Lytechinus pictus: one gene and its partner. The protein of the gene in region 2 purifies or fractionates together with the protein of the main gene of each other region. This does not show direct contact. Links are inferred from orthologs where the notes say so. Each region holds a gene or a part of one and is shown on either strand. Other genes may lie near its edges. The genes, in order: pseudouridylate synthase TRUB2, mitochondrial-like; RCC1-like G exchanging factor-like protein.

Region 1 (12,990 bases), on a different chromosome or scaffold from region 2:
CGAATCTCTCAGAAACTCACTATATGTTGTCTTCTGCCAAATCTTGCCTTCACTGTCGTGTGTGTCCGTTGCCACCCCAAAGCGCCCTCTTACGGTGTACTGCCGCGGTAATCTCGCTGCTTGGTACTGATTGACGAGCTTCCTTCCATCCCGTACAGCCAAGACTAAACTCAAAATAAGGGAAGAAAACACTTATTTTGGCAAGAGATGCAACAGTAATGCTGGATGCCAATACAGTTCCATATTTCACATCTTTAACCATGTTTTTATGTTTAAGTTATTTTTTTGTAATAAGTTGGCCTGTCACAAGGTATCTTCCTCTCTTTGCCACTTCCCTCCTCATTTTCTATGACTTATTTGATGTACATTGTGATTTTATACATTGTTATTCATTGTTTATTTTATGTATTATGTATTTTATCTGATCTCATGAGGAGAAATAAACTAAACTTGAAACTTGAATAATCTTGCATAAAAGATTAGTAAATCGGACATCAAGTTCCTATGCATAATTGTGCCGGTTTAATGACAAAACAATTGCTCTTTATTTGTGACATACTTTGGTGTTTGATGCCGATTACAATTTTCTTGAACCAGCTCCTCTGGTCTTTTGCATTGTAATCAAGAAATGGACTCTAAGAGCATAAATTACCTCAAGGAAAATAAACACCATTACCGAACCATCCTCAGTTGTGAACAAAACGCTTTGGGAGAATTAACTTGAGACCTTCCCTGCATTGACACTTAGTATGCTCAACCATATCAAAGCTTTTAGTCTTTTGGAACAATGGAAATGGGTGAAAATTATGCCCAGTCCCCCCATTCCCAAATGCATGTTTGTTCAAAATATTTTCTAGATACCCTGTATGTTCATACATCAATTGCCTTTTTGAAAATTTAGTGTGTTTTCCTTTTTTGTAAAGAATATTGTGAAAATTTCCTGTAGAAAAAAATATGACATTGCTGGATTTCCATAAAGTTGAGATCGATCGGATCAATCGTAACTCTTTGTAAGATGGGGCCCTGATACAAATCCTGCTAGGAAAGACGTTATGTGCATGCATCTTCACATTCACAGAGGGTTTCCTGCATTCCCCATCGTTTTTTTTTTCTGTGATGAAGTGTGAGGGTTAGCAATGAAAATACACTCCCAGGATTCCTGCATGAAAGATGCGGCTCTGACTTCTGGTAAAAAGCCTAAGAAAGAGTTTTAAGAATCCGAATACCTCAGGTCAGGCAAAAATTAATTTCTTTTTCATTTTCGGGGAGCTACATTTCACAACCAATCGCCTAAATCTGAAACATGGGATAGGCTTAAACACTGCAATGAAGGGAGAATTTCAGGAACCCTTAAAAAAAAAATTTCCAGGGCAAAATCCCCCCAAGCCCCCGTGTAATTTTTTCCCTGCTTCAGGTAATTCGCTGTCTACTTACCCATAACACCACACGCCTTGGTGTCCAGTCCCAAGGACACCACGGAAACAGCAATGTCCCTGTAGGCCGGTCCCCTCACCATAGGATGATCTGTGTAGCTGGGTACCTCCACAGCCTTCAAGGCACCAGGGTTGGCGGCAGTCAACCGGGCATCGGTCTCCGGGACAATCTTCACCAGCGTGTTCTGCGGTCGCTGCTTCAGCGCATTCAGCTCTGTACATTTGTGAGGGATGGCGAAAAGACTTGTGAAAATAGCAACTGAAGGAGTCCCAGTACCAGTGAGCAATGGGTTAATAATCAAGAAAAATAAATGACATCCACAAAGAGTGTGCAAAGAGTCTGAGTAATGTAGTCTGGTCAGGATTCATATTTGCACAAAGCATCAATGATGTAAAGAACCTAAGAATATGGTGTAACCGGATTTCTGATGCAGGCAGTGTTCCAGAGTGGTTTTACCGGGTCCACATTGTCGAAATGTTAATTTGATAGGGCTTATAATAGTTTGAAACAAAAAATATTGATGATAAATAGCACTTATGTAGCCCCATTTATTTCTGAAAACACATTCAATTACGTCACAGACTGTTCACAGTTGCTGGAAAAGAGAGGTCTTCAGTTCAGATTTACAGACCTGTCTCAAAGTTGTTACAATGACGAAGTTATAATAATAATATGTCCATTTATATAGCGCAGTTACTACGTGCATATACTCAACTGCGCTTTGATACATGGTATCATATTATTACCCCGGCTGTAGCCGAGCTGCCATATTAATAGGCGCTAAAGGGTTCGAGGAAAAATCCTACCGGGTACCCATTCACCTCATCTGGGTCAAGTGCAGCACAGTGTGGATAAATTTCTTGCCGAAGGAAATTACGCCATGGCTGGGATTCGAACCCACGACCCTCTGTTTCAAAGTCCGGAGACTAATCCACTGGGCCAAAACGCTCCACATATATATGAAGTTATATTGATTTTGTTTAACATTCTCATCTATGACTAATTTTCTTCATGATACAGTGACTGTTTTTTTTACCTTGTAGGAGAGTAGACTTCACAATATGTTTGACTTTCTGAGTTGATAGTCCTTCTGGTTTGTAGACTGCGAACAAACCACTCAAAGATCGCCACGCCTTGCGAGCTACCTTGAAATCAGCCATCATCCGTACCTTATTCCTTTGTTGAAAAAAGAAAAGAAGGAAAGAAATACAACTAAATATATATGAATATGTAATAAGATATCTAAAATGCATTTTTTTGCATCATATTATCATATGGCGGGGTAAACTTGTTACTTAATGACTGTCCCTTTTTTAATATCTCTTATTGATTTTCATCAGAAATATGGGGGGGGGGAAGAAAATTACCAGAAGAAAAAACTTAAGGAAGGAAATACATAGTTTAAAGATCAACCAGCAAAGCTTTCCATAGATCCAAGTCCTGCTATGCTCTTGCACTCTTGAGTCTGAGTTAAGGCTTCGCATAAGCTAGACCAAAAGCTTCGGTCTATGTTATGTTGGTTGTTCAGCTGAACTCCGTTGGCTTCACTCACCAAATACAGAGACCGAAGTTCTAGCGCGATCTGTACAGGGGACTAATGGCCATATGTTTATGTGTATTAAGTTTGGATAAAACAGGGCAGTGAAGTTGCGCGACAGCCGAGGTAAGTCACTGTTTTTGTTCCTTTTAACTTGATTTTCCCCGTGTTTTGGCAATTAAAGCCAAGAGGGAATATTAATTTCCATTTCGGTCGCTTTAATTTTCATAAGTTTGATTCATTAAAGACAAAAATTGAAGAGCCCCGACGGGGGGATTTTGCATTGTAAGTCCCCTAATGGTGGCTGCACGATAGCGAGCCGTCTGTTTACGAGGAGAAATTAAAAAAAATAAAAAATGTTTAAAAACTCCTCGAAACAGACTGCTGCCAGCTGTCTACGCATAAGCATACTAATCTAAGGTGCAGTTGCTTTATACACTGTCATGATGACACATATTTAAATCTTGCTCTTGAAGGTTACACATAAATCATTTCTTTCAGTTATAAATTAATAAGAATTTAATATTCATTCCATGGAAGTTAGATCCAAGAAATTAAACTTATAGCAATATACTAGATCTACACCAGAAAAGTTAGACCCATTCACTGCAACCATCCTGCCTGTGGAGTGTGGGGAATCTACAGGTAGGACTATGGTATGCCATTGCAGCACACAACACACACTTGTCTTTAGAAAATCATTTATAGAACACTTTTGTGACCAAAAATACTAATTTCCACTGTTGCAATTTATTTTTCATTGTAACTTGGGAATAATTTTATTAGTATTCACCAGAGCACTCAAAAACTTGAATTTTGGGCATATATTTGTATACGCCCTCTATTGGTGGAAAGTAATATGGCAAGAAAATTTTCATTTTTCAATCTCTATTTTCAATTTAGAAAAAATAATTAAAAGTAATTAATTAAAAGAATCAAATTTACTTAAGAGCCAAGTTATATGATGATTAGCTGTAATGGAATCTGACATGACAGTGTAAAAAAATCAAGCGTTTGTTCCAAAGACTAAGAGAAGATAAGCCAAACATAATTGGCTTGCCAACCTTTTTTTCCTGACATGGACTGATGGAGTACTAACAAAGAACAAGGTTATATCATAACCTTGTTCATTGAATGAGTGGACCTGTCTTGATTTTACTTCTCAAATTTGATATAAATTAGCACTTATGGTTGTTAACTATGTTCTGTACAGACTATCCTATGTAAAAAAAAAAACTGTTACACAAAGGAGCAAGTCCCTCAATCACATTTCAAGGTTAATATGCCTACCGCTTTTCCGAAATATTGCGATCGGGAACCGCTGTATATCGGCTTCCTTCTCGACCTCATCGTTCAAGAGTTCAGCTCAGAGTCAGACATCGATTTGCTTCGCCATAATTTTGATATGGTCTGAAGAAGTTAGCGACCAATTTAGATCATAAAAACATGTGGCAAACAAACTGCCGCTGGCAAATCTTTTGGCCGCTAAATTCAGTCCATATCAACATTACGGCGAAGCCAAGCAAAATGTCAGACTGAGAATTATCAATTATGAATTAATTAGGACAGGTGTCGAGATCGGAGCCGAAAATACAGTCGTTCCAGATCGCATTATTTGGAAAAACAGTGGGTATATTGTTCGTTGACCTCGAAATGTGACTGACAGACTTGCCATGACATTTGTGAACAATTCCTGCAGACCTGGTGGGGAAATTTGCTCGAAATCGGCAGGTGCAGTGCGAAACTGCGCCGAAAGGTTAACTTTAACGTTACACAGAATCCAGTACCTCGGACTGAGCTCATTTCCCGGCATTGCAATAACACAATCAAAAACAAATTTATTCTTTTTTTTAGATCTAAGGGCGTATAAAATCAAATATATTCACTCAAATTCGGCCGTCGTATATCAAACATAATAATTTTTATTGAAATCAACGATTTAATTCCATATTTACACATTCTAGGCAAAATATAAAGTAATTAACTCACCTCAAACAAAGTGGGGTTTCTGCTGAACTTGTCGACTAATTATACCAGAAATTAAAGTATGGTATCGCCTAGACAGGAATAACCGTCGTTTCTGGGGATTTATTCAACAATTTCTGACATTTTACTGTAATTGGAGCCAACGTAGTTCAGCGGAACAACCAAAATACAGAGACTGAAGCTTTTGGTCTAGGTATCGCCCCCCTCCATGAAAGAAATTTCGCCGATATATTTACCCGAGATTCTTAAAGGACAAGTCCACCCCAACAAAAAAATGATTTGAATAAAAAGAGAAAAATCTAAAAAACATAACAATGAAAATTTCATCAAAATCGGATGTAAAATAAGAAAGTTATGACATTTTAAAGTTTCGCTTGATTTCTCAAAACAGGGGACCGTTTCATCAACATTTTTGTCTGACAAGTTGTCAGATCTGACATCTTTCCTTGATTCTGATTGGCTGAGAGGCACTGTTACTATAAGTAACTGTCGGATCAAATGGGACTTGTCAGATAAAACGTCCGACAAGTCCTTTCATGAAACGCTCCCCAGTTCTATTCACATCCAGGGGGGCGTTTCGTGAAAGGACTTGTCGGACGTTTTATCCGACAAGTCCCATTTTATCCGACAGTTACCATAGTAACAGTACCTCTCAGCCAATCAACATCAGAGAAAGATGTCAGATCTGACAACTTGTCGGATGAAAATGTTGATGAAACACTCCCCTGGTCTGGGAGACTGATGACGTCATCCACTCACTATTTCTTTTGTATTTTATTATATGAAATACGAAATATTCTAATTTTCTCCTCATTGTCAAGTGAAACAATGATTAATTCCTCTCTGAACATGTGTAGATAGCATTGTTTTATGCTATATGGTTCAGTCAAGTTGGTCCTTATTGTCAAATCTGTAAAAAATGAAAAATTGTGTAATTCAAACAATAAAAAACAAAAGAAATAGTGAGTGATGGACATCATCGACTGACTCACCTAGTTGTGCATATCACTGTTTTGTGAAAATTAAGCAAAACTTTAAAATGCTATAACTTTCTTATTTTACATTCGATTTTGATGAAATTTTCAGCATTATGCTAGTTTGATTTTTCTTTATTTATTCATATCAACATTTTTCTGGGGTGGACTTGACCTTTAAAGAGTGCAGTGAATCCGAGCAGCAGTCAGCATTTCTGTACCACTGTCACCCTTAGTGGCGTATCTGGGGGGGGGGGAAAGGTGCAGGGGGGCACGTGCCCCGGGTACCACTTTCAGGGGGACGCAAAAATGAAAAGGTAAAAAAAAGGAGAATAGGCAAAGTAAAAAAAAAGCGCAAAAAGGAACATTAAGGAAAAAAAATGTTTAAAATACTAGTCAATTTGCATGTTTCAATTCAGTTCTGCACTTCTGCATAATCTGCTACTTCGCCTATACTTGCAGAATTTAATTTCTCGCATCCAAAATGAATTGACAATTTATGGCTTTCAATTAGTGAGTAAAATCACATTGATCGATCTGATAATGTCAGAAAAATCCAGGGCTCAACCAGGATTTGAACCTCTTATCCACTGATTGCCAGCGGCGTAACAGGGATCGGTGGCCAGGGGGGGGGGGGGGCGAGAGACAAAAATTTCCCGGTCATATCATGGTATATGAACAGGCGTAATGGTGTAATGAGGCGACTATTTTGAGAAGGCCAGATATTGCGTATCGGGCAGAATTTATCTTTGAAAACAAGTTGCGAGCGAGCGAAGCGAGCGCGCAAGAATTTGACCTTTTTAATACAAAAATTCAATTTTGTGATAGATTTTGACATAATATCCAGAAAATAATATATTTCAGTCTTTTCTCTTTAGATTCCTTTTTTGTGGTCTGTACGCCACTGTGAACAGTATTCTTTGCGGCAGGAGTGTGAAGAGTAAAAACAAACAAAAAACAAAACAAAAAGCGAGGGGCGCAGTATAGCACATGTGCTAACATGCTGCTTTATATAAGTCCCGAGCGAGCGAAGCGGGCGAAAAAAAAATCACCTTTTCATGAGAATCTAACTTTGAGATATTTTTTAAACATCATATTCAGTAAATAAAATCATATCCTATACAATTCTCCTTTGCTTTTCTTTCCTCCTTTTTTGTCCTTGTTTGTAGAACTTTTTTGGGCCATGGCCCAACCCTTCCATACGCAGTGCTGTGTGGTTGGGGTCCGGGGCGGAGCCCCCGGAACTGCTTGATATCAAAGTCATTTAAACCTCGCAGATTGCCGCTATTTTAATCAAATCGCGGACATATACAGAATATAGCTAATTACACAACACTTTATTTATTCAACCCAGTTGCGTAATGAACCAAATATTTTGAGGGGGCAAAACATAGCAATGTGGGAAAAATTTGTAAAAAGTCGCCAGCGTGTAAAGCGAGCTGGAAAAAATTGCCTATTGAAATTAAATTCTAATTATGTTATGATTTTTCCATTATATTCAGCAAATTACACATTTCATTGTTTCCATTCATTTCATTATACGTTGTCTCCTATAATTTCCTCTTGGGTGTGGAAGACCCCCCCCCCCCCGCGCCTGTATGCCACTGCCAGTAATTGAACGTGATTGAAAGGGGGCGTTATAGCTTATTTGCATAATAGCAAGCTTATAGCACAATGTTGTATGCAGTCCATCTTTCTTCCCGCTCTTTATAATTTCAATCATCGGCAGCCCGGTCGTGTTATTATTTTTTTTCTTGTCCCTTTTCTTTGTGTTCCAATTAAGCTTTTGATTAATAATATTCTGACTTCGTTTCCCGCTATTGTTTGCCATTTTGTCATCTTTTAATGTATTTCCCACCGTGTTATTGCATTACAGAGGCCTATTTCGGAATGATTTGTTCTTTCTCAAATGTTTTTCTTTCGTACATTTTCCCGCTTTCCTTCCTTTTCCATTTAAAAACAATGTTTTTAGTCTTCGTTTTCTTTTCCCTTTTCCCTTTCCCTTTCCCTTTCCTTCTCCTCCTTTCCTTTTCCCCTTTCCTTCCCCTTTCCCTTTTTTCTCCCTTCTTTTCCCCGTTTTTCTTTTATTTTCCCGGTGAAATCCGCCAGGGGGGGGGGGGCAGCTTGCCCCCCGCCCCCGCCTGTTACGCCACTGCTGATTGCTGGTCAGTGACTGTATGTAGGCCCTACCAACAGGCCATCACTGGTCCATGGCACAGTCAGTTACGATATTTGAAATAAGAATCAAGTTTTCAGGTCGGAATATTCAAAATTTTTAGCTCGCGCTTTTCGCGCTCGTTTTTTTTTTGATTTGTGAGTTATAGGCCCATCCCTTTCATGAGTCACTGCAAACAATTTTCAGCTCACGCTTGACGCTTGCATCAATAATACCTAGGCTATCCTATTTCGCTGAGCTACAACCCGTCCAATAAGTTCTAAGTTTGGGCCTACTTCTATATAGCTATCAGATCCATGCATTCAAGAGTTTCCCGCCGGGTTTCCCAATGATTTTTTTTATTGTTGCTCCCCCAAATAGCTATCATTCAAGTAGACTTTTTTGCTGATTTTTCCCCCTTTATTTATTTTTTTATTTTTTTTAAATTATAATTATTTTAATTATAATTATTGTAATTATTATTGTTATTATTATTTTTTTTCAAAGGTCATGGATAAAAAATGGGGAAGAGGGGGGGGGGGGGGGGAATTATATGCACGAAAATGAAAAATTAATCAACGACACCGTTGTCCTGGGTTACTTGTTTCGACGTTGTGTTGTGGGCGTTGTGGCGTGCGCCTGTAATCCAAGCTATGTGGGGAAGTTACAAATTGATGCAGAGGTTCGAGCCCTGGTCACGTCTTTCGGATGGTGACGTTAAAGGTCGGTCCCAGACGTAAATAATCATTTCTGATTGATACACGTCTGACAAAACTCAAATACACACACACAGACGGAATTTATTCTATAACTTCAGACTGTTTGCATGTGCGAACGCGAAAGTAAACCGTTTTTTAACGAGTTTGACCTTGACTTCACTAAGCCAACAATAAACTACAAATTATACTACAGACATGATCAAAAGAGGACCCACGCGTATTGTACTGAAGTTGGAAGATCTCGAGGAATTCGATAACATTAAAAAGGAGCTGGAACAAAAAAGAAGAGTGGAACAAGTTGTGGGCTTGAGCCCAACTGAAAAGAACGGACAGGCAGGCACATCCAACGGGGCAGCGGCCCACCAAGAAACTGTAGTTCCCGCTGGCGAGGTTGTTGACGCGAAGACCCGCGATGAAAGGATTCGTGCACGGATTGGATTCGATCCCAGACCTGTTCCATCTACTTCAAGTCGAATTGGAGAATTTAGAGGTGGCGAGTGACTCTACTAATTAGTAAGCTGCTTGTTTGTTGAGTATATATTTCCATGATAATATTAGAAATGTCATTAATCATGTTAATTATTAATATTAATCAATCGACTGTCTACCGTAAATTCGTATGCAGTCAAACAAAGTCAACAATTCAAACTAGTCTCTGGCCTAGTAAGAAGTGCCACTGGCACTGACACTGCTAGATAGCCTAGACTAGAGACCTTTCTAACGTTATAAATTATTTGCCATTGCATTGCATGTCTTTCAATTCAATTAAGTTCATTTTGTAGACAGGAAGAACCGTCGTTTCTGGGGATTTATTTAACAATTTCTGACATTTACTATCATCCCCATTGGAGCCAACGCAGTTCAGCGGAACAACCAAAATAGAATAGAAAGACTGAAGCTTTTGGTCTATTCATTTTGTAGAAAGACCTTAAGTTAACGCTAATGTCTTTCAGAAATTATTAAATTCAAATAATTAAGTTTATAGATCAATAATGAAAAGTTCATTAAGATGATAATGATATTTGATGGTGATTTATGATGATAGATCTAATTAATAATGACAAACATGAAATGCCTTTTAAATGTTATGATCAGCGACATAATCAGAGTCTAATGAATCAATAGACATGGATTGCACTGTTTCACATTAACAAGGGGGGGGGGGGGCAGTTTGGCTTTGCCACTGTACGGTAGTTACATGATTTTTAACTCCAAAGTTACATTTGATTTGGAAATACATACATTGCCACTCCATCTTGCTTTATCATCATGTTGCTAGTACTTTCATTTGTGATTTCATTTTTATTGTGGTCGTATTCTGTTAATGTGAGACACCGAATAAACTGTTGTAATTTTGTTTGTATCTTGTATTATTTTCCAGGGAACATGCAGCAGCATAATTTGGATTTCAGAAGCAACCTGGATCGTGCTGGTTGGATGCTGAGAACAGATGTTCATGCGGGATTATGAAATACATACAGGACATGTCCAGCAAGATCATGAACATGTCCAAATTTGCCATTCTCCTGCCAGCAGTATGCCCAATTCTGGCAGTGCTACCTGATGTTTGAGTCTTGGACAAGTGTTGACATCAGATCCATGGTCTATGATGGATCTTGATGTACATGGTTGAGATGCCGAACTGAGTTTGAACACGTGTACCGATTTGTAGAGCCTCAATTAAAACATGTTTCTATCTGAAAGGACGCTCACCATTCAAGTATATAAAGCAGATACGAACCAATAGCGCCATCTCGAGTCCTCATCTACTCATACATGGCTAGTTTCCTGACCAATAATGCTAGTGTAGTCTAGACCCACTTAAATGATAACATGCTCATTAATTACTCAATACATTTATATACCGCAATAATTATGTTAACAAGTAGCAAAACAATTTCTTATCATCTCAAAACATTTTAGTTTCTCTATACGAATACAATTATAGGTCAATTTATTCTCTTTAGTATTAGTAGATATCTGAAAACATATATTTTAAGACTATGTATTTATATCACACAGTCAATGAGAGACCACACACAGTTCACTCTCACTTGAAGTTGATCCTTATTTCCACTGATACTAAGAAGAAGAAGCTGCTTATGTCATGTTCACAGATTTCACCCCTAAAATCAGGTTGGAGAATATAGAGGTGCAATTAACCATGTTAAGGATGAACTCTTGTGGATGACCTTCATGACCATGCATCTCCAGAATTATTTTGATATAAAACAAATCTCAAAAGAGACAAGATGATGGGTGATTCAGTCATACTTCTGTTGAGCTCGTAGCAAAAAAGTCAACACTTATAGTGGTAGAATTTAACTAAATTCTTAAATGTAAATTGATACCATTTAACATTAACATTTTTAGCTTAATATTCATGACTTTGTGGAAAATATCTAAGTGGGTTGATTGGATAAAGAAGTGTGAAACTACTTGTACATCATTTTTGGGATGTATTGTTGACGACTTAATATTTTTCCTAAATATTTCCTGTATGAGATTTAGATTTTAAATTCATCAGGTTCAATGGACCCACTTGCTCTAAAATTCCAAAGCTATCATTTTATGCTTTATTTTCTTTAATAATTTCATAGAAATCGTTCTTTCATGATACAGTTGAGACAGCAATTTAAGTCAACATTCTAGTCAAACGTTCAGGTGGAGGGGGAGGGGGGTGTTTCACAGGAAGAGTAAGTGTGACTTATACCTTGGTCACATTTGCTCTACGGCGGCCGTACGGCGAGTCGAAAACAGCTATTTTCACATTTTATGTACGAGCTACATAGAGGTGGTTTGTACAAAATTAATAAAACGGCTGTTTTCGACTCGCCGTACGGCCGCCGTAGAGTAAATGTGACCATGGTATTAGAGTCATGCTTCAACGTCAATGCGCACATTTTATGTTATTTAACGCGTAATCTGAGTGATGGATATGCAGTAGTGCGCCCCCTGTGCGCATGATCTGACCAATGCAGTGATACGTTATATAATGCATGTCGCACGCAACTGAAATTTAAGTGCGACCCCAAGTCACACTTAAATCTTTGTGAACCACCACCTGGTCTAAAAAAAAAGCGTCAACTTGGTTAAATGTTTTACAGTTTATAGAAGGTTGATTTGGGCAAGTATTCTAGATCATGCTCAAAGGGGATGTTTACCCTGACAATAAGTTGGTTTTGATGAAAGAAGAAAAAATTGAGAGAAATGTAGTCAAAGTTTTGATGAGAATCCATAAAATCTAAGAAAGTCATAAATCTTGAAGTTTCTATTTTATGACGTCATATACAGGCAGCTTCCCCATATATCATGTAATGTAAATTCCATGAATTCCAATCTTGTAATGGAATATGAGGAAATACAAATATTATTCTTACAGAAATGGGTATGAAATGATGAGTCTGATGACATATCCACCACACAGATGAAGTCACTTTCAAGTTTATGGGGAAAATATATTTTCCACAAAATATGGAGGAGCTGGTGTATGTGACATCACAATCCCGAAGCTTTAAAAATTCACAACTCCTTAATTCTTTGATGGATTTTCATCAATTCTTCATCAATATTTTTCTCTATATTTTCTGCTATTTTTGTTAAGAACTTATTTTTCTTTATCAGGGTGGACTTCCCTTTCAATTCTGTGATAGCTTTTAAAGTCTGTCTAAAGCTTTGTTATAGGATTAGTAATGTGGATTATACTTGAGTATAATCAAATATTCCAATATTATAACTTTAAATTTTTCTTTCTTTCATTCGTTACAGTTTTAATTTGGCATCTAGCACCCTCTCTCTGAATCGCTTTTATTTTATTTCAAATAGCTCTTCAAGCACCTATTTTACAGATTTAGTAATTGGATATTAGAAAGCCACGGGCAAAGATTATATCCTGAAATTTTCAGCCCATTACATGCTTGAGAGGGGGTTGTATTTATGTAAACAAGACATAAATACATGTATGCAGATATTTCATTTTGATTCGCCACCAGGGGGCCGTTTCATAAAGCTGTTCTTAAGTTAAGAGCGACTTTAAGAATGACTGGTGATCCTTTCTTACGTGCAAAACCATCGCTAATGAATATACCATTCGCCATAAGAAAGGATCACCAGTCATTCTTAAAGTCGCTCTTAACTTATGAACAGCTTTATGAAACGCCCACCTGATTAAATTAAATGTTGATG
Region 2 (12,643 bases):
GGGCAATCAGTTACCAGTAGGCAATTGGTCAAAGTCACAATGCAACAACTGCTTAAAGGTCAAGTCCACCTCAGAAAATTTTTGATTTGAATTGATAGAAAAAAATCAGACAAGCATAATGCTGAAAATGTCATAAAAATCAGATGTGAAATAAGAAAGTTATGACATTTAAAAGTTTCGCTTATTTTTCACAAAATAGTTATATGCACAATTCTGTCACATGCAAATGAGAGAATCAATGACGTCCCTCATTCACTATTTCTTTTGTTTTTATTGTTTGAATTATACAATATTTCAATTTTTACAGATTTGACAATAAGGATCAACTTGACTGAACCATAAAATGTTAAACAATGGTAATTCCACATGTTCAGGGCAAAATAAAACTTTGTTTCACAGGACAATGAGTAGAAAATGAGAATATTTCATATTTCATATAATAAAAATACAAAAGAAAAACCCGGTAGTGAGTGAGTGATGTCATCAGTGCCCTCATTTGCATACTGACCGGGATGTGAATATAACTATTTTGAGAAATTAAGCAAAACTTAAAAATGTCATAACTTTCCTATTTTACATCCGATTTTGATGAAATTTTCAGTGTTGTGCTTGTTAGATTTTTGTCATTATATTCAAATCAACTGTTTGTTGCGGTGGACTTGTCCTTTAATCAAAGATATGACACAATAAAAAGGTGAAGAGCATACAAATTAATAAATTTATGATCATCATCATTTTCATAATTTGATATTGATCATTCATGATAACTATTGACAATGTTAAAATTGTTATACACTAAATAAATTGTATTAGGGGGCTGTTTCTAAAAGCTGCACATTAATTCTTTGCCCACTTTGTTCAACTAGTACAGCAGACTGCCAAGTTCGACACAAGTCACATTCGATTCACAATGCACACAGAGTGCATTAAGTCTGTTGTTCGTACACACATACACAAAAGTGGTGTGTTCATCGCAGTGTACACACAAATCTTTTACTAATAGACCGATCAAAAGCTATTGTGAGCTGAATTAGCACAGCTCACGCAAAACCCCGCCAGGGTTACACCTTGAAATTAATGTGGCGCAGGAATGATTCTGTCTGTGGCGGGCAAAGAGTTATCTCTTTGCCCGCCACAGACAGAATCATTCCTGCAGACAGAATCATAACAAAATATTCTACAGTGGCTAGAATATGGAAAGCCATAGGGGTTCTCAATCATTCTTACATTAGTTGAAGTTATATAGATGTTGAAGATTCTTACAGCTAGTGTATGTTCTGTCACAATTAAAATGGAATGATGTGAAATTCAGTGAAATCTGTATAATATACTTCACTTCATAAGGGAGAAATGTAAACCCTTAAAAAATTCTGAGTTTGGCCATTAATTTCTCCCAACTCCAAATTTTACACAATGCAAATTTGATATCATTCAAAAGATCATTTAATATTCTTTAAAATGATACCATACTTGTTATGATCATGCCATCACAAAAAGAGCAGGATTCAAAAGTGTTGGATGAGGTCTGAATTGAAAAGCAGCAAAACGAGTAGAAATGGTTATGAAGGGTCAATAAAGAACATGATTCTTTTGTCTGTGTCAATAAAGATGAAAATCCATTCAAATCAAGCCCCTACTTCTTCATTTTTTATGTTTAGTTGTGGTTTATGTTGTGATGGTTCTGTGAGATAACATGGTTTGAGTCATGGTTTGAGATACCCATGCACATTTGATTGTTATGTGTTTCCTTGTGCCATGTGTGCAGAGGTGTGTTTGATTCCATGTTAATGCTGATGTTAAGGTGCATGAAAACAAAAGAAACCGCTGAGAAACTTGCTCATCACCACAGAAAAAAGAACAGTGACTTTCAATATTGTATAATTTTGCAACTTTTGAATTTTGACCTTGCCCCACATTTCAAGGCACTGCACCTTCGTGTGAACCATAATCATATCATGTATCATTTTAAAGAAAATTAAATGATCTATATGCAACACATGAATATTCACTAAAATCGAGGAGGGGTTATCGATCAAAGTCAGATTTCCAAAAAAAATTTGAGGAGTTTATATATAAGCAGGTGGTCTTTATACAAAGGTTCATTTAATACATGTTTCACTGCAGAGTACTACCAGTATTCTAGGAATACCAAACTTGCGGTCTTTAAAGGGATGGTCCGGGCTGAAAATATTCATATCTCAATAAATAGAGTAAAATTCACAGAGCAGAATGCTAAAAATTTCATCAAAATCGGATAACAATAAAGAAGTTATTGAATTATAATTTCTTTCAATATTTTGTGAAAGCAGTTATATGCACATCGTCATGAATATTCATTAGGTAGGCTGATGATGTCACATCCCCACTTTCCTTTTTCTCATGTTATTACATGAAATCATAAATGTTTCATTTTTCATACATGTGTAAATGATGTGTCTCCATTATGATGAAATAAGTGCGGCAATAAATAACTATTAATGCACTTAATCAGTTGTCAATCCAATTGTTTTAGTTCTTGGTAGAAAAATTTTGAATAAACCTAATTTCATATAATAAAATACAAAAGAACAAGTGGGGATATGACATCATCAGCCCACCTAATGAATATTCATAAAGACATGCCTAGAAATGTTTCACGGGAATAACGCAAATCTTTAAAATTCTATAACTTTGTTATTTGTCATCCAATTTTGATCAAATTTTCAGCATTTTGCTCTGTGAATTTTACTCTATTTTTTGAGATATAAATATTTTCAGCCTGGACCATTCCTTTAAAGAGAAGTGGTCCTTGTATAACAGATGAAAGCGGGTGTGACTCTGTATTCAAATTTTATATTTGGCATTTCTTATGCCAGTCATTCATTAAACTGTTTGTAACTAAAGATCAGCTTTATGAAACACATGTGATGTTAGCGTTTACCTATAATCTTCATGGGGTATAATGGGCCTTCCACACTGACCATGAGAATTATTGCCAAGACTGTATACTGCAAATAGAAAAGGAAAGTCAATCCAAATAAAAACACAAGTGCTAAAACCATGATCACTTGACAATGCATTGAAATTTGCAAAATAACAAAATCATATGTTCTTCTTTATTTCCAACATACTATATTGTCCTTATGCTATTCTTCGGAAATCTTTATTCATGTACTGACAACCTTCTTCATCCGTGAAGATAAGCAAATGATATCTCCCACATAAACATAAGTTTCATAAAGCTGTTTGTAAGTTATACGCATGGCTTTTACATGAGACTGATGACCCTTTCTTGTACTTAGGCTATGGCGCAGTCACGTTTCCCCTATGGCGGCCGTATTGCGAGTAAAAAACAGCCATTTTAACATTTTTTGTATCAGCTACATATACGTGGTTTGAATAAAAATGATTATATGACACCTGGATAGATCCTTGTCCTTTGATTGGTTGTTTGATGTTGATCATTCAGGCCATTTTACAATGACGTCATCATCCATGCAATTTTGGATCCATACGACTTTTCCATTGAACGCGCGTGCAACACTGACCACTGGCAGTGGCCTACACGTAAACTTTTCGGTCTTATAGTAAGTGTGTTTGTATGTATGCGGCAATCAACAGACCGCATTCGCACTGAATTCAAATTTATAAATGCCAAATGACAAGGATCTATTTTAGGTGCAATATAAAACAATGAATTTATTCATGCAATGGACAGAATACTTCATGAGGTGAAAGATAAAATGAATGATCAATTTCATCTTATTTCATCTTTCACCTCATAAAGTATTCTGTCCATTGCATGAATGAATATTCATTATTTGTATAGTAAAACAGCTGTGTTCGACTAGCCATACGGCCGCCTTGGGGGAAATGTCACTGAAGCATTAATAATATTAATATATCCCCATGCCCGGGGGGGGGGGGGGGGCACTCACATATATTGGTGGTAAGGGGACCTGCCGCTTTGATGACCACCTTTTTCAGACCTAATTTTCAGTTCTCTTGATACCCCAAGACCCCATACTTTACCCATTTAGTCAGTTCCTTAGACCCCCATTTCAAATTTCAGATTTTTCGTGAGGCACACACCCCCAGCAAAAATAACTTTGAGTGCCCCCCCTTGGGTCCCTATGTAGCTGACCTAGCACCTAAGATCATATGCATTACGTGAAATTATTTATTTCTGTACTTACCACCTTCTTCATCTGTAAGTATAAGGGAGTGAGATCTACCACAGGATACCTGAGAAACTCTGGTCTTCCGTGGCTTCTTCAGAGGTAATGTGATTTCAGTTGGTGATATGATGGTATGCATTCCCTCAACTAGCAAATAAGCAGGTGCAACAAAAAAAGAGAATAATAAAAATAATCCGCTTTTATATAGCGCTTAATACATCGGAACAACGTGTCTAAGCGCTTTACATATATATTACCCCGGTCATCGGATTCAATCGGTCATTCCCGTACACAATGTATGCACATCCTCCACTCCTTGGGGAGTATTCCAGTCAGTCACCAGTGAAGCGCACACAGTACTGGACAAGCTACAGTGACTTTCTCATCCTACCGGGTACCCATTTAGCACCTGGGTCGAGAGCGGCAAAGTGTGGATTAATGCCTTGCCAAAGGATGCCAAGCTGCGGTGGGATTCAAACACTTGACACGGAATACAAATTTAGAGGGCAGAAAAGAGTTGGCCCAAGTAGGAAACAGTAGTTAATCACTAGTAAATACTAGCTCAAAAATTACATGTACAAGGAAAATGGGAAATGCATGGATATACTATAAAATATGCCTCTTGAATATTTTCATGTATTTTCAGGTACTCCATGTACATCTTTAATGAGTACTTCCAAGCATTTACAAGTTTTTCCCCAGTATTTCCCACCTGGGCGGGAAATGTATAAATCACTGGGAAACTGCCATACCTGGGGCTGAAATTCAAAGATAATTTCATGTAACAGTTTCATTTCAATTGGCTATCCATACTATAGTTAAACCGCAACTTTTAGATCATAGTTTAAATTAAAGTTAAAACTGTATTCAGAATATGGGCTAATGCAGACTTGCCAACCTTCTACAACCAAAAAAAGTATTCTTATAAGGAAAAAAGGTATTTTTTGACAAAAAAAGAGTATTTTTAAAAATTTGTCTCAACGTAACAATCGCCAGCCTGTTGTAGTGAGATCGGTGAAAAAACATATGAAATGACTCTACTTGAAAAATTCTTCATAATTCTTCTTCCAGTCTGGTACAGTCCGCCACTGGCGTATTATCGTACCTCCCTTTCACCCAATAAACATGTGCTCATAGGCAAGGATTAACTTGTTCTTTTCAGGCAACAAGTTACTGGCCTGACAGTGATTTTTACCTGGTCTGGGACTGTCGAACCGGCGCTAGTGTCACACGCTGTGTATAATACATACTCCATGATCAGAAATTTTGAAAAAAAGTAACAAATCATACAAAAAAGGTATTGGTGTATTTATAGCAACAAAAAAAAGGAACAAATACTCTAAAAAGGGAACGGTTGGCATGTCTGCTAATGTCATCATGCGAAAATATTGGATAACTCCCCATTTCTGAATAGTTTTATTTTTCTTCTTACCACTTGTCATAGCTTTGGGATGATATCCAATCTGCGAGTTTGTATTGATGCCCATACCCCAGACCTTACTGGTGTCCTGTGTATGGCTGCCAATCAGTGAAAACCCATACCCACAAGATGCTGTTGTGATCTGCCCAAGAGAGGAAAAAGATGACGTTAAAAAAAAATCAAATACGCAAAAGTCCATTGCGATGAGATAAATTACAATATAATACTCCACAAGAAATGTGAAACAATTCTAGATTGGCAGAGAATAATTTGCCTATCTACATGTAATTTGATCAGTATTTCTGGTCAAAATACAAAAGCTCTCAACAACGTTCTGTAGTCCTGTGGGAAAAAAAATCTGCTACACAAATATTTTTTTCTGTTAATCTTTAAAACATGTGGAGCACATTGATTCCAATGTGATAACTGGGAAAATCATTCCCTGATTGGTGGAATTTGGTTCATAAGAAGCAAGCTGCAGGTCCTTTTCACTGACAAGTGTCAATTGTGGCGGAGCATGGAGGCATAAAGATAAGATCATTCATATACATATATTTTTTCATATTCAAAGTAACTCTAAACCAAAATGTATATTATTATAAAACAATATAAAATAGACATGAGTAGTAATTGTAATATTTTGTGTTGTTTCATAAAGTTTTAGAAAGGTAAGATCCCATGACATAAGACATTTGCTCCAGACACTTGCTCGTACACATAAAACCAAATCCTAACCGTAAACCTAACCCTAATCATGATCCTGATCCTAATATAATCCTGGGGGCTGTCTCATAAAGCTGTTCAACAGTGTTCGTAAGTTAAGAGCGACTTTAAGAACGACTGGTGAACATTTCTTACACGCTAAACCATCGCCAATAAATATACCATTTACCACAAGAAAGGATCACCAGTCGTTCTTAAAGTTGCTCTTAACTTACGAACAGCTTTTTGAAACACCCACCTGAACCCCAAACCCTTCAAAAGCCAAAATCAAGAACCTTGTGTCTTCTGATATATTAAAACAGATAAAAATATACAAATTTTGGGGTCCATCTTACAAAGAGCTGCCATATAACAATAAATTTGAATCAAACCTGAATTGCTGCAATTGATCTAAATTAATTTGTGTAATTAAGTGATAGGATTTTTAGATCTATCACACTTTGAGTTTGATTTAAACCTACAGGGCAATTCCATAAAATATGTATATATGTGGGACTTTCATGAAATTCTCTGTCTCTGATTTCTTGTTCTTTTGATAGTATGTAATGCTCTCAAATGACCATGACAATGGTCAGTCTATGAAGTGAAGTAAAACTTGAGAAAAATGGGGGTCGGACGTACAAAAAGGTTGATTATTTTATGGAAGTGCCCTACATGTACCTATCACAACTCTCTGTAAGACAAAGCCCCAATGAGTATTTCATAAAGCTGTTCGTAAGTTACGAGTGACTTTACATGTATGATCAACTGGTGATCCTTTCTTGTGTTAAGTTAATTGAATACACACCAGGGGGTGTTTCACAAAGATTTAAGATTGATTTAGAGTCGCACTTAAATACCGAGTTGCGTACAGTATAAAAGGCTTGACCGCATGGGTCAGATCGTGTCATGAGGACGCGCACTACTGCGTATCTGATATGATTTTGTAAGTCGCCCTGCGTGGCTGACATGGTTTTTTGTGCTCTCTGAGCTGTGTATGATTTCTACTGTTTACATGTATTGTTTCTCATTAATAATTGTACCAGATAGGTTTGTTATTTGCAAGGATACTTGTAGCCAAATTTGCAACTGTATCTTGCTTGTATTGATGAGATATTACTGGATGTTCTTGTACATGGTTTTGATTTGAGCTTGTAAATCTGTAAGCCATTTTGTACATGTGTATTATATGTCCAGCTATCACCATTCAAGGTCGCTGAACTTGAACGGACAGTTTCTATCTATTGAATGCCTGCATTTGAAGCACAATGGAGCCATTGACACTGTGCCTATTCACTCTCACTGTGCTTTTCAAGTTTTTTCAAGTGTCAACTGCAAGTCTACCTTGTGAAATTGAATACAATACAGGACACCCAACTAAGGAGATTCACTGTAAGTACTCAAAACTTCGAGTATCTTATTACTACAATTCGTCTGCAACATTTCAGCTCAAGATACTTCAGTCTGGCGATGTTAGTCCTAATCCTGGACCAACTAGTGAATACATAACCAGATGTCGTAGTGTTCCTATTCAGTGGAACTCCGACGGAACTAGAGAGCGTATTAAGTACGACAGGTCGATTTTGCTACGAAGCAATCCTGCGTGGGCCCATTTGAATCCAATGACTTTATTATGATTGTAATCCCAACGATGATGGCAATGACAAGAATGGTGATAATAATTATAATGTTGATATAATGATGATGGTATAATGATCGTAATTGATCACGAGAATATTTATTACGACAAGATTGGTGATTATGGTAGCAATAATAGTGATGATCAGAGGATAATATTTTGCTGTGGGGGACAATAATGATGCACCCTATGAACAAAGGATATATCCTCTGCTCCGCCGCCCGCGGTGATGATTAATGTTTTATGATGATGACGGTGATAATGACAGTGATGAAGGTGCTGAGATTAATTATGATAATAATCCTAGTTTTGATGATTACAATGATTATGATTATGATTATGGCGATTGTGATGGAACGACAGTGGGGGAAGGGGCATGTTTGTCGAGATTGAATTTCATTTGAAAATTAAAGGTAGGTCCTAGACTGAACAGTTTCATGAGTGTTTCTCACCAAGGCGAACTTCTACTTCAAGCTAATTACGGAGCTGCAACTCTCTTCAGTTGGTTCGAGATTCGACCCATGAACCTCATATACAGAGAACGAATGATCAATAACCAGGTAACATAATTGTATACGATGTCAATTAAGGACAAATTTTTCTCCTTATGTCTATTTATCGTATGGTTGACATCACAATGAGGCAAAATTTGATTGCATGGTGACTTCTTAAAAAAATCCTAAGTTTGGGATTTTTAAGGGGAAGGTAACACTTATGCTGGATTTTCCCCAACAAATATGATTTTTGAAACTTGTAAGAATGATGGTTGAGTGAACAGGAATTTTAAATTTAGTGTAGCCTATTCATCTTGTAGACCTAAGCAGTGTGTTTTGTGAGTCGGAGTAATGTGATGGTACCTGTTACAAGCGAGATATGGTAAGACTTGGTTGAAAGGGCATTCATCATCTTTTTGTCATTTTACAAATAAAATTCTTATGTATCTCCACCCCCCCCTCAATTTTCCAGACCCCTCTCACTTCCTGGATGGTAGCCTCCCGGGGGTAGCCTTTTCAAAACTTATTTGCCACTGAAGTGACCGGTGGCTGATAGTCATTTTTTTTCTTTCTTTTTATTGAATGATTACCAAGAAATTGACTTGATTATAATTTATGAAATACTTTATTGAAAAACTGAATGTTTGATTGATTACATTGCCCATTGAAATAGTTGATTTATTGATAAATTGTTGATAGGAAAAAGTTGATGCCCCAATTATCATTATAATTAAATTAACATTCTGCTCTGGACTTCACGCGTACATGACAATAAAAATCAGTCACTCAACAGAAGGGGAGTGCGAGAGAGAGGGAGGGGGGCTAAAATGTTATGTTGACCCTTTTTCCATCAACCTACTTATCCCACTTACGTCCAATCTCACCCCCTATTTTCCTGACTCCAATGAACACATTGCTGAGAGCCACATGATAATGTTGAAATGTTGCCCAAGATGTGTAATTTTTGTTCAATTTAATAATTCATAAAACTTGCTTAAACATTCCTAACTGGTTGATCAATAATTTATCACAACGCCCATAACATTGCAAGTTCCAAAGCCAAATAATTTGCCCCTCAAAAACTGACAAAAAATGGAAGGCTAATTCCAGCCCAGCATAATTTTCATACCCTTTGTTTCAATAGGCAGTGTTCGCTCAAACGTGATAGTATCTCTAAACATGGGGTATGGTTTTATGCTGGAAAATCCCTAAACATGCATGGCCCCAATTTTTAGATACTTGCTTTTAGATACATGGGTTCATGCCCCCAATTTTTAGATATTGGCCTTAAACATGGGTCCATATCCGGGGTCCATATTCTCAAATTTGGGGTGATAAACTTTTTGGTCAAGTTTTAAGCCCTTATTATGCATATCAATTCCTTTTATAGGAAAAGCGCTCCTCACAATTTCCGTATATTTGGCACCGGCCGTTTGGTACCGCCTTGACTGAACTGTGCGAAGTGTGTGTGGTCTGTGTGTAGAGATAGACCGAGCCTTCAGCACTATTTCTTGGGGGTGCATAAATTGCCATAATTAGGTTTATTGTGACATAATAAAATTAATCACTGTAATCAATTAATCACTGGGGGAAAAGGATGTACTTCTCTTCACAAAATGAAGAGAAGTACACGAAGGGAAATTTTGTACTTTTTGCATGTCATTGGACGGATGAAGACCCTCATTAAAGTATTGCATACGGGTGGAAGTGCTTGTGCATAGCCTATTTTGTGTTTGTAAATGGTATTCCGTTCTATAGTCTGAATTCTTAACCTTATATCAACTCTTTTCTCTCTTTTGGGGATTTTGTAGATTAGCATCTATCCTGTATTAAATAAACTTGAACTTGATTTTGATAATAGTGACCTGAATGTTTTCATAATTTTATATGGCCAACCTCTCCTTCCGGCCCTACCGTTCTATTATGTTTCTTCCTCCCATTACAGATCCTCTTCCTCTTTTTCACCCTCCATCTCGAGTAATCACTTTCTTCCTTTCTCACTGACAATATGGAAGGGGTGCAGCTCCGATCGCCTCCTTACATCGAGAGGTACACATCGACAGGGCAAAAAAAAAAATCCTTTTAATGGAGACCACCCTGCTGATGTCCACGTTTAATGAAGTGCATATACTTTCACAGTATTGACATTTCAGAAACTTTTTAACATTTGCTAAGATTTGACGTACACGAGATGACACTCAAAACTTCTTTTCTAAAATCGTGTACCATTATTTGATAACTCGGTGTAAATACCAATAAATCATGTAATGGACCTCGACACTCTTCATGTAGTCAGCATGTTCGATTGATACACGTTTGTAAAAAGTAAAACACACACATTAATTATATAATTGATTTTTTTTTTTTTCTCATGTCTTAAAGGTAAAATAGACCTATGGTTTTATCATAAAGACCAGCTGCCATTAACAAATTTAATAAATATCATCCCGTGTCTTTTCTTTGATCATGTAATGTTTAGAAACATTGCTGCTGCATAATTAGTGTGATTCATTTTTGTTTTGTCAAAATTATCTCATCGGCGATTCCGTTCAAAATGCCCTATAATGGGACAGAGAGTTACATGTATATTTGTATTTTACGTGCATTAAAGCCACCGACAAGCTATGAATCGGCTTGGAGAAGACATGCACGCAACTGATCTATAACCATGGACCTACTAGTACACAGCAGTAACATACAGACAATGAGGCATTCAGCATGTTCAGGGTTTCACATTCACATTGAAACGGATTTTTCCTATTGTTAGCTGCTTTGTGATTTTCACACCTTCATCCATTGTTCTCAAAACGTGCTAGACGGCGTAATTGACCAAATTCAGGTTCAAGGGGTGTTTATAGCTATATAGGGTCGTTGACTTCAACCAAGGACCTATAGATGTACAGTGCAGGCACATTATGGCCCACTCTAGACCGTTGCATGAAATCACCCGAAATATCTTAAATATTCATTAATGCATAATGAGGGCGCGAAATCTGATAGTATGGCCTGAAATCTGGACATTTCAAGCACCTTTGTAACTATAAATATGATGCATATATTTAACCATTAATGCGAACGCGAACCGTGAGCCAATTTTTTTGATAAACTGTCATGAAAAGGGGATTTCAAGTAGTTTGTTGTATAATCAATATTGAGACATACATAAATCGCCAATCAAAATGCGAGCGTGCAGCGCTAGCTGAGGCGCGATAGCTCAGTCGTAGAGCGGGGGTTTCGGATTCCGGTGAACCGGGTTCGATTCCCAAGTGGTGCGCGAGTGCCCTTTGGTAAGGCATTTATCCTCATTACCAGGTCCCTCGGAGAGGACCTTAAGCCGTTGGTCCCCTGATTGCTTGCTCACAGGCATTCGTGCTTTCTTAGCAGTCACGTAAAACATACTCGGTATAACCTGATACGATTTGACAATCAGACCCGAAAAGGGATATTTAGAAAATGTATGGAATGCACGAGAATGATAGGTACCAATCAAAATTCGCGAGCGCGCAGCACGAACAGAAAATATTAATATTCAGACCATAAAACTGACATGTTTACAGAGCACTTTTAAAAAATCAGTTTGTAAATCACACAAAATAATGAAGTTCAATTTCCGAGGTGAAATGTGTTTTGTAAATTAACTTCCAAACTTGATACCTAAACTCATTGAACAAGATATGAAAATCACCTAACAGGCAATGCTGCAAGGGCAAAGCGCGAGCGAAAATTGTATAGTGACATGAAAGATTTTTTTTCCCAAGTCTTTCCCTCATCTTATTTTATTCACTCGTCTTCCTCTACTTTATTCTCCTCTCTTTTCCCTCCTCTTTTCCCTTTTTTCTATCTTTTTTTTGCTCGACCAAGAGGGGGGGGGGGTCCCTCGCCCCCCGATCCGCCTATGCTTTGTGGAAAACAAGGTATCATAACGAAATGCATATAGAATATATTTTAACCTGTTGTCAACTTCAAACAATCTTAAAAGATGTCCTGATAGATCGCAAATATGAAAGGCTACCAACTTCTATTTTGTCTTATTGACGTTTCCAACTTTGTCGAGAAAATGCATCTTTGATATTATTTTCTTAACGGAGAACAATTAAGGGATCATAACGAAAGGCATATCAAATCTATTTTGTCTTGTTGACCCCTAACAACAATTTTAAAACATGTCCTGATAGATCGCACACCAATCTGAGATGTTTGTGACTTCCATTCTGTTTTATTTACGTTTCCA

Evidence for each region.
Region 1: the proteins of RCC1-like G exchanging factor-like protein (region 2) and pseudouridylate synthase TRUB2, mitochondrial-like purify together in Homo sapiens (affinity purification with mass spectrometry; 3 studies listed by BioGRID and IntAct, with this or other methods). This does not show direct contact. The link is inferred for Lytechinus pictus from reciprocal best matches to the Homo sapiens genes RCC1L and TRUB2.

What each region holds. Positions count from the first base shown.
Region 1 is NC_087259.1:6,025,595-6,038,584, reverse strand, and holds the start of pseudouridylate synthase TRUB2, mitochondrial-like, read right to left. Parts: upstream 5,009-12,990; 5' UTR 4,961-5,008; intron 2,611-4,960; 5' UTR 2,598-2,610; coding exon 2,471-2,597; intron 1,648-2,470; coding exon 1,435-1,647; intron 165-1,434; coding exon 21-164; intron 1-20. UniProt on the Homo sapiens protein: Minor enzyme contributing to the isomerization of uridine to pseudouridine (pseudouridylation) of specific mitochondrial mRNAs (mt-mRNAs) such as COXI and COXIII mt-mRNAs.
Region 2 is NC_087245.1:39,114,346-39,126,988, forward strand, and holds the start of RCC1-like G exchanging factor-like protein, read right to left. Parts: upstream 5,721-12,643; 5' UTR 5,645-5,720; coding exon 5,590-5,644; intron 4,305-5,589; coding exon 4,176-4,304; intron 2,988-4,175; coding exon 2,921-2,987; intron 1-2,920. UniProt on the Homo sapiens protein: Guanine nucleotide exchange factor (GEF) for mitochondrial dynamin-related GTPase OPA1. Activates OPA1, by exchanging bound GDP for free GTP, and drives OPA1 and MFN1-dependent mitochondrial fusion. Plays an essential role in mitochondrial ribosome biogenesis.